Arabidopsis thaliana: one gene and its partners. The protein of the gene in region 1 interacts with the protein of each later gene in a pairwise test. Each region holds a gene or a part of one and is shown on either strand. Other genes may lie near its edges. The genes, in order: AT4G30940, GSTU2 and AT3G13227.

Region 1 (5,107 bases):
ATGCGTTTAGTTTTCTAGACCTTGGATGAGGATTTCCTTTCACCATTTTCTGCCCGTATTTACGCCACCTGTATCCATCACCACAGATACCAACATCACCAGCTGCGTGTACTACGAATTTGTTTTTCTTTCCAGGTTTGGAGACAGAATCTGAACTCTGTGAGTTATCTTTTTTCAGTCTGAAAAATAGAGAGAAGAAAGTCTATTAATTTCATCTTTCAAAGTGAAGAGTAAGCACCGAAATGCAAAATTCTACAAACTTGCCTTCGTTTTGGCTCTGGTTCCTCCACAGCTTCGTTCTCACAGTGTCTTTTCCGGTCAACGAGTGTTTGCGACTCACAGATGTATTCTTTAGTAGAAGCAGACGGATCTGAACCGCTAGGAACAATTGATAGCTCTTCTACTACTGTATCATCCTCTGAAACAGGCCGGATAGCTGTTGTAACTCTAATCTCTCTCGGGGAGAAGCTAGTCTTCCGGGGAGGTTCATGAGTATGTAAACCTTTGTTAACAATCTCTACCACATTGCCTGAATCATTGGAGCATTCAATTTTTTTAGCACAACATTCAGTGTATGTACACCTGTAGTAACTCCGTGAGCCCTTGGGACTCTTAACCTGCTTCTGTCCATATTTTCTCCAATTATAACCATCACGAGCCGGTGTCCTAGGAACAGGAGTAACCGACAATCTGTTAACCACCGGCGAATCTGATCTTTGCTCTTGTTTAGTTGGAACTGAAACCAGTGGTAAATCTTGTGCGGTTGAAGCAGTTGCAGGATCCAAAGATAGACATGGCGTCACTGTCAATGAGTCTGACGATGCAGCCAGAGAAGGAGATGTTTCTACCTGACGATTCTCTTCCACTTCATCAACCGGCACAATCGCACTTACAACAGTTTCCTTGACGCTATCAGTCTCCTGCCAATGTGATACAAAAAGCAGTTAAATGTCATGCCTTGATAACAGTGATTCTTGTCCTCAGAATTGCCTAAGAAATCAGACACACTAAAATGTAACAGATCAAACTGATACAGATACAGATTGAACTTGGCCAAAGGTTAAAACCATTACGATTAATCCTATTCCCATGTTATTGTATAATCACTGAACGAGTAACATCGAAGACACTGAAATGAGTTAAACTTTACAAGTTCTAGCACAATCAATGTTAATGAGAGAATCAAAGTTGTAAGTGTTAAGAAAGTTTATGAATAGCAGAAGAGTCTGAAGCAAACTCACATTCACTTCTAATACATCTTCAACATTTGGTTCCACAGAGGAATTTTCTCGAACACCTGGTAAACTCAAACATCATTTCGTCAAAAAATAAAGTCTCGAATAAATAAATAAAAACCAATAAAGAATTTTGCGCAGAATAAACCGTTACCTTGAACCTGATCCTTGCCTAGGGTTTCTCGCACAGTCTCATCATGTAAATCTTCCATATCCGCACCAAGTGATTTTTCCTCGTCTCTGAATTGACTCAGTCCGTCCTTCTCCGGCTCCACTTTCTCGCTCTTCTCCACCGTGTATGTCTTAGCTTCGTCGATACCAGTGTCTTCTTCCATGGACGATTCTCTCTTGTCCTCTTTTTCTGTATCTCGTGGGTTTTGTCTGAAGAGAGTAAAAGAAAGAAACGAACAAATTCTCTAGGCAGACAAAAAGGTAGCCGCTTTCCGACCGACTGATCTCCGGAAGAAAACGCTGCGTTTTGGTCCTTTATTATGCCTTCTCTGCTTTAAAAGCAAAAGAAGAAAGAAAAAAAGATACCAAAAAAGAAAGAGAAAGAAGGGGCATTAATGTCTTTCAGTCTTTGTTTGACTGTAGATAGTTAAACCAACTCCGTTTATTTCTCCGTTAATCACCCCTGCGTCACGTCAAATCATTGACGTGTTCCGTTTAGTTTACTATGTAAAATTTATCTTAAGACTATCTAGGATGTTTGTTTGTTTATTATCATGTGATGTGGTGATAAATAGCATAATGAATATGGTCAATGTTCTACGAATTTTGATATATCAAAGGTAATTTTTTGTTGTGTTGATCCATCTAGTTTAGATCATGACTGACCCCGAAAAGATTAGTACAGTGGTAAATTACTTACTTTATAGAGGAAACAACTGCAAGAAAAGTGGAGTTTGTTTTGCGTTCTTCCAAAATAGTGACTGAAAGAGGAAAAACATATACGTACTTTAATGTATGATAAGACTCAGCACGAAAATAGCAAAATATTTCAATGGAAAAAACGAAATTGTTTGTATTCTTCATTTTCTTCAGGGCTTCTAATGGCCCCATTTCAGCATACAAAAAAAAGGATATGTTAATGGGATGATATCTATCTATATGGGCTTTAGAAACGTTATCATGGATCACGGTATTAGCTTTGAAATTACACGAAATCTCGACCGCAGGATAGACGACAATATCTAAAAGCATCTGACGGTAGTAACACGAGTATTGTCTCTAGTAGGTCCCACCATGTTCCAGTTGGGTTTCTTACGTTTTAAATGCCCGAGCAACGGAAAAATGTCCGAGACCAAGACAGATCGTTTTATTTTCTCTTCTGGGAATCTCAGCTTTTTTTAAAAAAATATCCAGAGTCCAGATCATCGTATTCAATTTGATTAATCATAAATCAGATTTCATTTCGTTATCCTTTCCCAGGATTCAATTTCTTCGAATCCGATCGAATTTCGAATATTTTCAATCCGAGTTCGAGCGTTCATGGCTTCCTTGTCTTGTCATTAATGCTTTTGGTTCGAATCCATAAAAATCATTGATTTCACCTATTTTCAGAAATCAGAAATAATGGGTTTATCAAATGACAGGATCAAATTCAACGTTGGTGGCAGAATCTTCGAAACGACAGCGACAACGCTCGCTAACGCAGGTCGCGATTCCTTCTTCGGAGCATTATTCGACGAAAATTGGAATCTTTCACAACCCGGGGATCTCTTCATCGATAGGAATCCAGATTGCTTCGCTGTTCTTCTCGATCTTCTCCGAACAGGAGACTTAAACATCCCGCCTAATATCCCGGAGCGTCTCCTTCACAAAGAAGCAATGTTCTACGGCTTAATAGACCACTTACGAACCGCAAAGTGGGGACCTTTCGACGGTAACAGACTCCACCTATCTCGTTCCGTCACCGGCATAGCTCCTGGAGACGGAACGGCGATAAGAGCTGGTCCGGATGGTGGATGCTGCATAGCTCATGGGAGTGTCGTCCATGTCTTTGATTGGATGCTTGAGGAGCATCCAACGATTAATCTTGATTACCAGAGAGTGAACGATGTTGGTTGGATTGATTCTGGTAACATTGTACTCTCTGCTTGTGAGAGATTAGGAAGAGGAGATGGAGGAATGGGATTGTTTAGCTCATCTTCTGGTGAGCTTAGGTATAAGTTTCAGGTTAGTCATGATAATCAGGTTAAGAGTTATAGTGCTGGAGCTTTGAGTTTTAGTCCTGATTCTAAGATCTTTACGAGCTGTAAAGGAAGAAGTAATGAGTATGGGATTGGAGTTTGGGATCAAAGTACTGGAAAGCAAGTAGATTTCTTTTACGAGAGTCCTGGTTGGTCTTTAGGAGATGCTGATAAGTTGCAATGGTTGAGTGGTAAGAATTGTCTTCTTGTAGCTACTTTGTTTCCAAGGAAAGATAACTGTTATATTAGCTTGTTGGATTTCCGAGAGAAGAACATGGTCTGGTCTTGGTCTGATATCGGATTTCTTACAATGGCGGAAGAGAAGAGAGTGAGAGACGCGATAGCAATGGAAGAGAGCAATTCGATATGTGTGGTGAATGAGTTTGAAGATCTAGGGTTTATTGATCTGAGGATGGATGGAGGAGGGAGTAGTGTGAGGTGGAGTTCTAGGAGCAGGTTGATGAAAAGCAAGATGCCTGATGAGCCTTGTTACCCCAAACTTGCTTTGCATGAAGGCCAGCTCTTCTCGTCTATGAATGATTCCATCTCTGTGTTTTGTGGATCAGACTGGGTTTTGACTTCTAGGTTGAAAAGAAGCTATGGCGGCTCCATTTGTGATTTCTCTATTGGTGGGGATAGGTTGTTTGCATTGCACAGTGAGGAGAATGTGTTTGATGTGTGGGAGACTCTTCCTCCTCCCATCATCTGATTTCACATTTTGATATCTTGAGCTTAGTCTGGTCTGTTTCTGTTGCTTCTGGTTTGCTTCTTTTGTTAATGTTTTAGGGTTGTTAGAAAATATATAGGATGAGAGAAATAGCAATAGTCAAGAGAATATAAACATAGAGAACATGATCATAGACTTTTGTTAGGATTGATATTAATACGATTTTAAGTTTCCAGTTTCAGGTTGTGTTCTGTTTTGTCCTTATATGACTCTTTCTCAATGTAAAGAATTAATCCTCTTTTGACCTTTAGCTTTAAGCTCCTTTCATGGTGGTGTGAACTGTGACCACAGTCTCAGATTTCTAAAGATTTGATGATTCGCTCCCTTATTTTGGACATGTGAGTGTCTTTTGTTGGACAGTGAATGACTTTGTCTTTCCACTTTCCGTAAAGAAGTCCCAAGAATTTTGCTTTAGCTTTCTTTTCTCTCTTCACTTTTTCTTTTGGCTTTTTTCCCACGACTTTCTCGGAAATATTGCAGACACAGTAAGAAGATGATGTTTATATCTTCAAAGATTCTCATCAACTAAATTTTCATCACATTACAGTACATTGCAAACTATATAGACTGTTCAATCTTCTTATAGCTAAGAAACTGATAAAAGAATTGCAATCGCTGAGATAATTTGACCAGTTTCTCTCTTCTGATAAGATTGGAAAGAAGATAACAGTATAAAGCGTTGGTGAAGTGTTAGAGAAGCTCATCGCTTGGAAAGCTTACATATAACATCGGCGACTGCAAAAAGATATTGAGATTTCAAAAGACTAGTTTGAGACCATGGCGAATCAGGCTGTGTAGTTAGGCATTGCTTTCTTGAGGAAGGTTATTGGCTGAGATTCTTCAGGGGCTAACCGGTCAAAAGGAATGTAGTTCTCCTCTTTGTCATAGACATGACACACAGTCATTATCGTCTTCATCAATCGCCAGTTCCATGTAGCCAAGTTTGTATACTG
Region 2 (4,106 bases), on another chromosome or scaffold:
AATGACACGTGGCACCGTGTGGAGAGATCGAGTGGACAGTTTACGAGGAGGTTTAGGTTGCCGGAGAATGTGAAGATGGATCAGGTTAAGGCTGCGATGGAGAATGGTGTGTTGACTGTTACGGTGCCTAAGGCTGAGACTAAGAAGGCTGATGTTAAGTCTATTCAGATCTCTGGTTGAGTAATGGGTTCGAGTTTTATCATCGGAGTTGCTTGTGTTTTTGTCATGGTTATGGTTCATGTTTTACTTGAGTGTGTGAGTACTCTATCTAAATTATAATAATCTCCGATTGAGCTATGAATTATGATGTATCGGATACATTTGATCCTAATGAAGTATGGAATAAATAATAATTATTAACCTTTGTCTAAATTCAAAAGAAGTTTAACCGACGAGATGATTTCGCTTAGAGTTCGATTTCGGTTTAACTAAACCAAATCAACCGATACCGTGAATCAAGACGGAATCAAACCCAAAAACTGAAAAGGTTCACATTATATAAATGTTATATTTTGATTTAGATTATTACATCATTTCTTTCAAAATGATTAACATTTTGTTTGATAACTGAATATTTCTTCTGTTTTACAATGTCATTCATTTCAAATGTTTGGCAGACAATGAATTGGCCAAAAAATAGACTCTTCAAAACAAAAAAAGTTGTGTGTTTTACAAATACAGTCGATACATTAATCTCTCAGTTTTAAACTTTTCAACATATGAATCTTAAAATATAAATTGTAGAACGTAATCATTTGGAGATTTGTTATTTCTTGGTCGGCTAATTGACTGGAGATTAGAAACACTAAGTGTTGGTCAAATATCTTAAAACACTAAGACGAATGACGTTGGCAATGACGTGCATACCTTAAAATATAAATCAGTCCTTTTCTGGTGTGATCTTCAAGATATCCTTGGATACAAAGACAAAGAGAAAGCAAAATGGTCCTTTTATTTATTTGTTTATTTCACCACCCATAACTTCATTTGTGTATAGAATATAGTAAACTCAAGTAATCAAGCAAGTAAACGAAACATAAAAAAGAAAAGTAGTGCAAGAAACAGAGGAGTTAGATACCAAAAAGTGAGAGATATCGAATGGCGGAGAAAGAAGAGAGTGTGAAGCTTCTAGGGTTTTGGGCAAGCCCTTTTAGTCGTCGAGTCGAGATGGCTCTCAAACTCAAAGGCGTGCCATACGAATACTTGGAAGAAGATTTGCCCAACAAGACCCCTTTGCTTCTGGAGCTAAACCCGCTTCACAAGAAAGTTCCGGTTCTTGTCCACAATGACAAAATATTACTCGAGTCACATCTGATTCTCGAATACATCGATCAGACGTGGAAGAACAGTCCAATTCTTCCTCAAGATCCTTACGAGAAGGCCATGGCTCGATTTTGGGCCAAGTTCATCGATGACCAGGTATACTAATATTGATTTGCAGATTAATTAGTTGATTCTATGCAGAACAATATTATATTATTCGCTTGTTTATATATTGTTCTTTACTTGCAGATCCTAACACTAGGGTTTAGGTCCCTTGTAAAAGCAGAGAAAGGAAGAGAGGTTGCTATTGAAGAGACTCGGGAACTGCTTATGTTTCTTGAGAAAGAAGTCACTGGAAAAGATTTCTTCGGTGGCAAGACAATCGGATTCTTGGACATGATCGCAGGAAGTATGATCCCATTTTGTCTAGCTAGACTTTGGAAAGGTATTGGAATTGATATGATTCCAGAGGAGAAGTTTCCGGAATTAAATAGATGGATCAAGAATTTGGAAGAAGTTGAGGCAGTGAGGGGATGTATTCCTCCAAGAGAGAAACAAATTGAGCGCATGACCAAAATTGCAGAGACAATTAAGTCTGCCTAAATTAAAGATACTTCTTGCCTACGAAAATATTTGATTTATATGCTTGCATCGTTTTTTATTTATATTTTTATTTTTTAAAGTTTTTCGAAAAATAGAATGACCTAATATTTAAGTAAAAAGATCAAAAACCTATTTGAAAGTTACAGCAATCAAATAACGTGGTGTGTCTGGAGATTGTAAAAGCCAAGACTAGAAGGAAATAAGAATAAAATAACCAAAGTGACCTCAGCAGTGACTTGGTTACCTTACTGATGTCTTTTTTTTTTTTTTTATCTTCAAGATAAGCTTGAGAGTTGAGACTACAAAAAAAAGCACAATATTGTTTTTAAAGTGACAGAGAGAGTCAGAGAGAGAGATCTAATGGCGAAGAAAGAAGAGAGTGTGAAGCTTCTAGGGTTTTGGATAAGCCCTTTTAGTCGTAGAGTCGAGATGGCTCTCAAACTTAAAGGCGTACCATACGAGTACTTGGAAGAAGACTTACCCAAAAAGAGCACTTTACTTCTTGAACTAAATCCGGTTCACAAGAAGGTTCCGGTTCTTGTTCACAATGATAAATTATTATCCGAGTCACATGTGATCCTCGAATACATCGACCAAACTTGGAATAACAATCCAATTCTACCTCACGATCCCTACGAGAAGGCCATGGTTCGGTTCTGGGCCAAGTTCGTTGATGAGCAGGTACTCTAGTCTAACTAATTAAATTGATTTATAATATTGATTGCAAAATAAATGAGAAACACTTGAGAGTTATTAGAAGTTCATTACATTTCAAGCATTTATATCAGGATTATTTGTAGGATAAAGTAATTTTCTAAGTACTTTTTTTTATAGATTGGTATAATAACTTGCAGATCCTACCAGTTGGCTTCATGCCCCTAGTAAAAGCAGAGAAGGGAATAGATGTTGCTATTGAGGAGATTCGAGAAATGCTTATGTTTCTTGAGAAGGAAGTCACTGGAAAAGATTTCTTTGGTGGCAAGACGATCGGATTCTTGGACATGGTTGCGGGAAGTATGATCCCGTTTTGTCTTGCTCGGGCTTGGGAATGTTTGGGGATTGATATGACTCCAGAGGATACGTTTCCAGAATTAAACAGATGGATCAAGAACTTGAATGAAGTTGAGATCGTGAGGGAATGTATACCTCCAAAAGAGAAACATATTGAGCGTATGAAGAAAATTATAGAGAGAGCTAAGTCTACGTTCTAAATTAATGATAACTTCATAACTCTGTGTTCTAAAATAATGACTATGTGCAGCTTGTATCGTTTTGTTATTGAAAAATTTGAAACAAAGAATGAATGTAGCTGCATTGGTAGTGGAAATCAATTAATGGGTGCAAAGTGAAATGTTGAAAGCTACCTATTATAACTATAATAACAAATATTGATTTATGGTTTAGGGAAAATAAATTGCAAAGATGGTAAATCTAAGTTCGATAGGATGATGAGTTAATTTGTTTCATGATGTGTGGTATTGATTACATGATGTTTGATAAGAAGTTAAGAACATTAACGTATGGTTGGTTAGTATTGGTTTATTGTGTATTGTTGGTTAGTATTTCAGTTTAGTGATATTCTGGTTCTATTAGTCTATCCAATTTTGTATTAGCATTGGTAACTCAATTTCTTCAAGAAATGAAATAACAAATATTTAACATATCTCTCCAAAACTAATACATCGGAAGTGAAAGATGAAAGACATGTTCAAAGAATATTTATCAAAAAAAAAAAAAAGAGAGATGGTCAAAGTTAGACATAAATATTGACTTTTGAGGATTCTTAATATTTTGAACACATGCTGAAATGTTTAGGCGTGAGGATAAATGATGAACACATTTGAAAGTGACGGCAATGATGAACAACTACCTTCTAGATGTTCTTGGATGATACACATGAATGATGTACATACATTGAACTTGTAATTAAGTGTTCCTCACAACTCTAATTAGAAAAGTATGCTTAATTATTGGAGTAAATGGCCTAAAAAAGACTTTTCCTTTTCCTTTATGCCTTTATAATCATGCACAATTTACATGAGAGTATATATAAAGATTAGTTAAATAAAAAATAAAAAAGAGGGAAAGAGATTGATTATTCAATGGCCGAGAAAGAAGAGGGTGTGAAGCTTATAGGGTCTTGGGCAAGCCCATTCAGTCGTAGAGTCGAGATGGCTCTCAAGCTTAAAGGCGTGCCGTACGATTACTTGGACGAAGATTATTTGGTTGTCAAGAGCCCG
Region 3 (3,924 bases), on another chromosome or scaffold:
TTTCTAGATTCTCTTAGATCCAAAACTTAAAGGTGTCTCCACTTGTGCTCAGTGGAAAGCTGCGAAAGAGGAGCTAAACGATAGCGAAGAAGAAGAAGATGATTCCGAAATCCTAGATAGAAAAAGAAAACGAGAAATCGAAGAATGGAAATCTCGACAAATCGCAAGTGGAGAGGCTAAAGACAACGCAAATTTCCAACCCCTGGGTGGTGACTGGTTAGTTACTCTCTCTGTAATGCCAACATTTATTTATCTCCTCTCCCAGTAAAACATGATTTAATTAGTTAAATCTGGTTGTATGATGTGATTAGGCGTGAGAAAGTGAAACGGAAGAGAGAACGAGCTGAGAAGTCTCAGAAGAAAGACCCCGAAAAGCAGCAAAAACCTGATCTAACAAAACTCTCAGCAAATCTCCCGTCGGAATGGCAGGTATTAAGTTTCACCATTCCACTAGCGTTTGATTTGTAAATGAGTACGCAGTTGCTAAAACATTGTCACTTGACTATCTCTCTTGTAGGCATATTGGGACGAATCTACCAAAAAAGTTTACTATGGGAATACGAGTACATCTCAAACCAGTTGGACACGACCCACTACCTGAACCTCAATTGCTTTCTCGTCTCACATTTTTTACAATTTCTTCTGTGATACATTTGTTTTAGATTCTCTAATCTTACCTTTATGTAAATTTATTACAGAGCTAGTGTTGGTGACATATAGACAAAGCTAAATCAAGAAAATATCATTTTACCATTTCCCAATGCTAACGTAATACTATAATTTGTTCCCTTAATCCTATTCCCTAACGTGACTTGTATTGAGTGACAAGATTTGGAAACTCAATTTCTCCATATGTCCAAACACAATGTTTAAAACGACCGAGTAGCGCCGACTAGGTGCTCATAGACGTTGTACAAATCCAACCTTGCCGGCTGAACTATATGGTTTATGATTTGTTCTCTAGCATTCTCGTCTAGGCGGGTCTTGGCGCATTTTGTACTTTTAACCGATGCAAACAAAAATCACGATCATTTGAATTTATTTCATTTGTGCAAACAGCAAAGTGAATATCCAGAGATTTCTCGACTTATGCATTTTTGTATATACACAGACACATACGAGAATTTTAAATTGATGAGAAGAAACACATAATATATATTAATCATCACTTGGGAGAATTAGAGTCTCCACCAGCCAACATGGAAAGGTTAGAGGGAACGGATGTGCCACGAGACATCCCGAGTCCAGCGTTACGACGGTGGTAACGGCACCTGAAGGAGCCAGGGTGTGTAGTTGGTGCGCATAAACAGTTTTGCCTCACGCTCGATGACTTGCTCATACCTACCGAGCCACCGCCACCACCACCACCACGACGTACGCGTGGAGACATGTTGTAAGCTTCTTGTCTTTTAATGTCGTCTTGGCTTACGTCTGCTTCTGTCTCCTTAAGTTTGATCTTCATCATCATCCTCCTCTTTGCTTCTTCCTCTTTCCCTTCCATTTGTGTTTTTTCTTTTTCCTTCCCCTTCTTCTGTGTTTCTTTCTCTACCTTTTTACGAATAGAGAAAACTCTAAAAAATAGTCGGAATTGTGAAACTGGTGAAAGAAAAAAAGATTTGTAGAGTTATAAAAGAGAAGTTAATGTAAACATTATGTATCTAAAAATAGTGATTTTCCTTTGTGTCCTTTCTTTGCGGTTCTGAATATCCGAGGTTGTCGTTTTCTTTGCAGTAAAATCGTCAATTAAATAGAGAGATTTGGAATCGACCAAACAAAATATATGGAGATTTTGGAAAATCGTTTTTGCATTTCAAAAATAGATAGAATGGATTTCAGAACTTAAAATTCTAGGTGTAAAAACAATACGTTCGTTTACACTTTACTCTACTGCTAAGATCGGCCTTAAAGCATTGAGATTAAAATCATGTTTACACTTTACACCTTCGTTTTAATCACTAATTAAGATTATCAACTATGATTGGGTAGACCTTTTATGTATTATGTATTTTTGTCAACTCTTTTTAATGTGTCGTACGTGTGACACATTCGTCGTCATAAATTTTTGAAAACTTTGTCTTAGAATTGTCTCTTTGCTGTTTGTATCATTCAATCCTTGCACTTAAAACGTAAAAGAGTTTGGATTTCAATTAACTTATAAAAGCATGTACAATAAGTGATATTCATTTAATGATACAGTACATCATTTTGACGAGAAATTACAGATAACAAAACCCACATTATTAGAACCAATGTCTAACCAATTATCCGTGGCCCTTACCCGAAAAAATAAGGAAACAAGAACCAAATAACCATGCTTGTATAGATGATTTTCAAAAACATTTATAATTGATTTTACGTTTTCAAACACATACAATTCCAATTTGTAGCTAGAACCTACGTATGCAGCTGACAAAAATATGCCTACTTACACATGCACTAACTGCCGTCAAACCTTTGTTCAGCACAACAAAATGTACAGAGATACAAGAGACCACATAAAGCATTCAACTTGAGCTCTAAAGAATAGATGAGTGCACATTTTGCAGAGCTTCTTAAGCTAATTCGTATGATTGTGAAAACTAAGCTAAGCGAGTAATTGATCATCTAACAAGACTACCAAATGATAAATCATTCTTGTGCCAGTGAGAAACAAACTCCAAGCCCAAATATGCTAAAGTCTACATAACACAATCTAAGTTATAGAGATAAGACAACACTTAAATTAGGTAAACACACAACTAAAAGATGACTAATAAAAGCTTTTTGATGCTCTTCCTGTCCTTAGCAACCCTTCCTGATGTTGGCGCTACATGATAACTCTAGAATGCACCTAGAGCAATTGGAACAATCTAGAGGAACCTGTGAGAGAAGCTTCTATAGCTCCAACTGATTGCTATTACCTCGACCCTACCTTGCATACGGATGGTATCGACTACTGCTACTATAACCCCTCCCATATGGACCACCTGCTCCTTCATAACTGCCACCTGGGCCACCAGATTCATATGCACCGCCGTAACCAGGCCCACCATATCCCCCATAGCCTTCCCCTCCTCCACGAGGATATCCCAAATAGGCTCCTTCTCCTCCACGGCCATATCCCTCACCACCAAACCCACTCCCATAGGGTCCAAAACGACTAGAATAGCCAAGGGGTGGTTCATTCCGGTAACCTCCTAAACTACCACCCCCATAATTATTATAACCTCCTCCAAATTCAGGGCCTACACTGCCACGACCATACCCATATCCCCCAGCATATCTACTAGCAGGACCTCCATGTGACCTAATGGGACCTGGAGGATGACCATACCCTCCATCAAAACCTCCGTAAGGTCCACCATAACTTGCATAACTATCGTTAGAAGAACGACCTCTAGGGTGACTACCGTAAGAAGGAGGTGAACGGTTTAGAGATTTCTTTGGTTCAGCTTTCTTGATCTCCACCTACAACAAAGCAACTTAATTAACCTAGCTATGCTAAGGACCCAAACTATAGCAGGGATTTCCTATCTTACTGTGACAAGCTCCTTACATTTGGTAAGCTAGTGGGTAGAATTCTAACTAAGTTAAACGTGTATAATGAAAGGAACAAGGAGAAAATATCAAATTGAAACCAAGATAAATATGTCATCATGAACCAAAATTCTAATCCCCATTTGTACAAGCTTACCTGAGTGTCTGCCATATCGATCATGTTTCCTTTGGACAATAATTCATCTACGACTTCTTCGCTATCAAAAATTACAAAACCAAAACCTCTGGACCTGTTTGTTTCATGGTCTCGAATAACCTGGTGCTCCACCACGTTCCCATACTTGGCAAAGAAGTCCTTAAGTTCATCTGATCAACAGAAAAAGAAACCAACTTCAATAAGGACAGGAAACCAGCATTCTCATGGAAAGCAAAAAAATATCATGCCAA

What was found.
Region 2: the proteins of AT4G30940 (region 1) and GSTU2 interact in a two-hybrid assay, tested with the Arabidopsis thaliana proteins (one large-scale study listed by BioGRID).
Region 3: the proteins of AT4G30940 (region 1) and AT3G13227 interact in a two-hybrid assay, tested with the Arabidopsis thaliana proteins (one large-scale study listed by BioGRID).

What each region holds. Positions count from the first base shown.
Region 1 is NC_003075.7:15,052,339-15,057,445, forward strand, and holds AT4G30940 (BTB/POZ domain with WD40/YVTN repeat-like protein), read left to right. Parts: upstream 1-2,534; 5' UTR 2,535-2,810; coding exon 2,811-4,136; 3' UTR 4,137-4,607; downstream 4,608-5,107. Other genes in the region: WRKY32 (WRKY DNA-binding protein 32), read right to left, coding at 21-179, 265-920, 1,242-1,297, 1,390-1,570; FAD6 (fatty acid desaturase 6), read right to left, coding at 4,940-5,104. UniProt on the Arabidopsis thaliana protein: May act as a substrate-specific adapter of an E3 ubiquitin-protein ligase complex (CUL3-RBX1-BTB) which mediates the ubiquitination and subsequent proteasomal degradation of target proteins.
Region 2 is NC_003071.7:12,629,353-12,633,458, reverse strand, and holds GSTU2 (glutathione S-transferase tau 2), read left to right. Parts: upstream 1-2,137; 5' UTR 2,138-2,226; coding exon 2,227-2,547; coding exon of another isoform or gene 2,548-2,552; intron 2,553-2,720; coding exon 2,721-3,077; 3' UTR 3,078-3,261; downstream 3,262-4,106. Other genes in the region: AT2G29500 (HSP20-like chaperones superfamily protein), read left to right, coding at 1-180; GSTU1 (glutathione S-transferase TAU 1), read left to right, coding at 1,099-1,419, 1,513-1,866; AT2G29485 (uncharacterized protein), read right to left, coding at 2,485-2,552, 2,728-2,869; GSTU3 (glutathione S-transferase tau 3), read left to right, coding at 3,969-4,106. UniProt on the Arabidopsis thaliana protein: May be involved in the conjugation of reduced glutathione to a wide number of exogenous and endogenous hydrophobic electrophiles and have a detoxification role against certain herbicides.
Region 3 is NC_003074.8:4,255,605-4,259,528, reverse strand, and holds AT3G13227 (serine-rich protein-like protein), read right to left. Parts: upstream 1,648-3,924; 5' UTR 1,502-1,647; coding exon 1,166-1,501; 3' UTR 881-1,165; downstream 1-880. Other genes in the region: AT3G13225 (WW domain-containing protein), read left to right, coding at 53-216, 312-429, 518-601; AT3G13224 (RNA-binding (RRM/RBD/RNP motifs) family protein), read right to left, coding at 2,908-3,447, 3,674-3,843.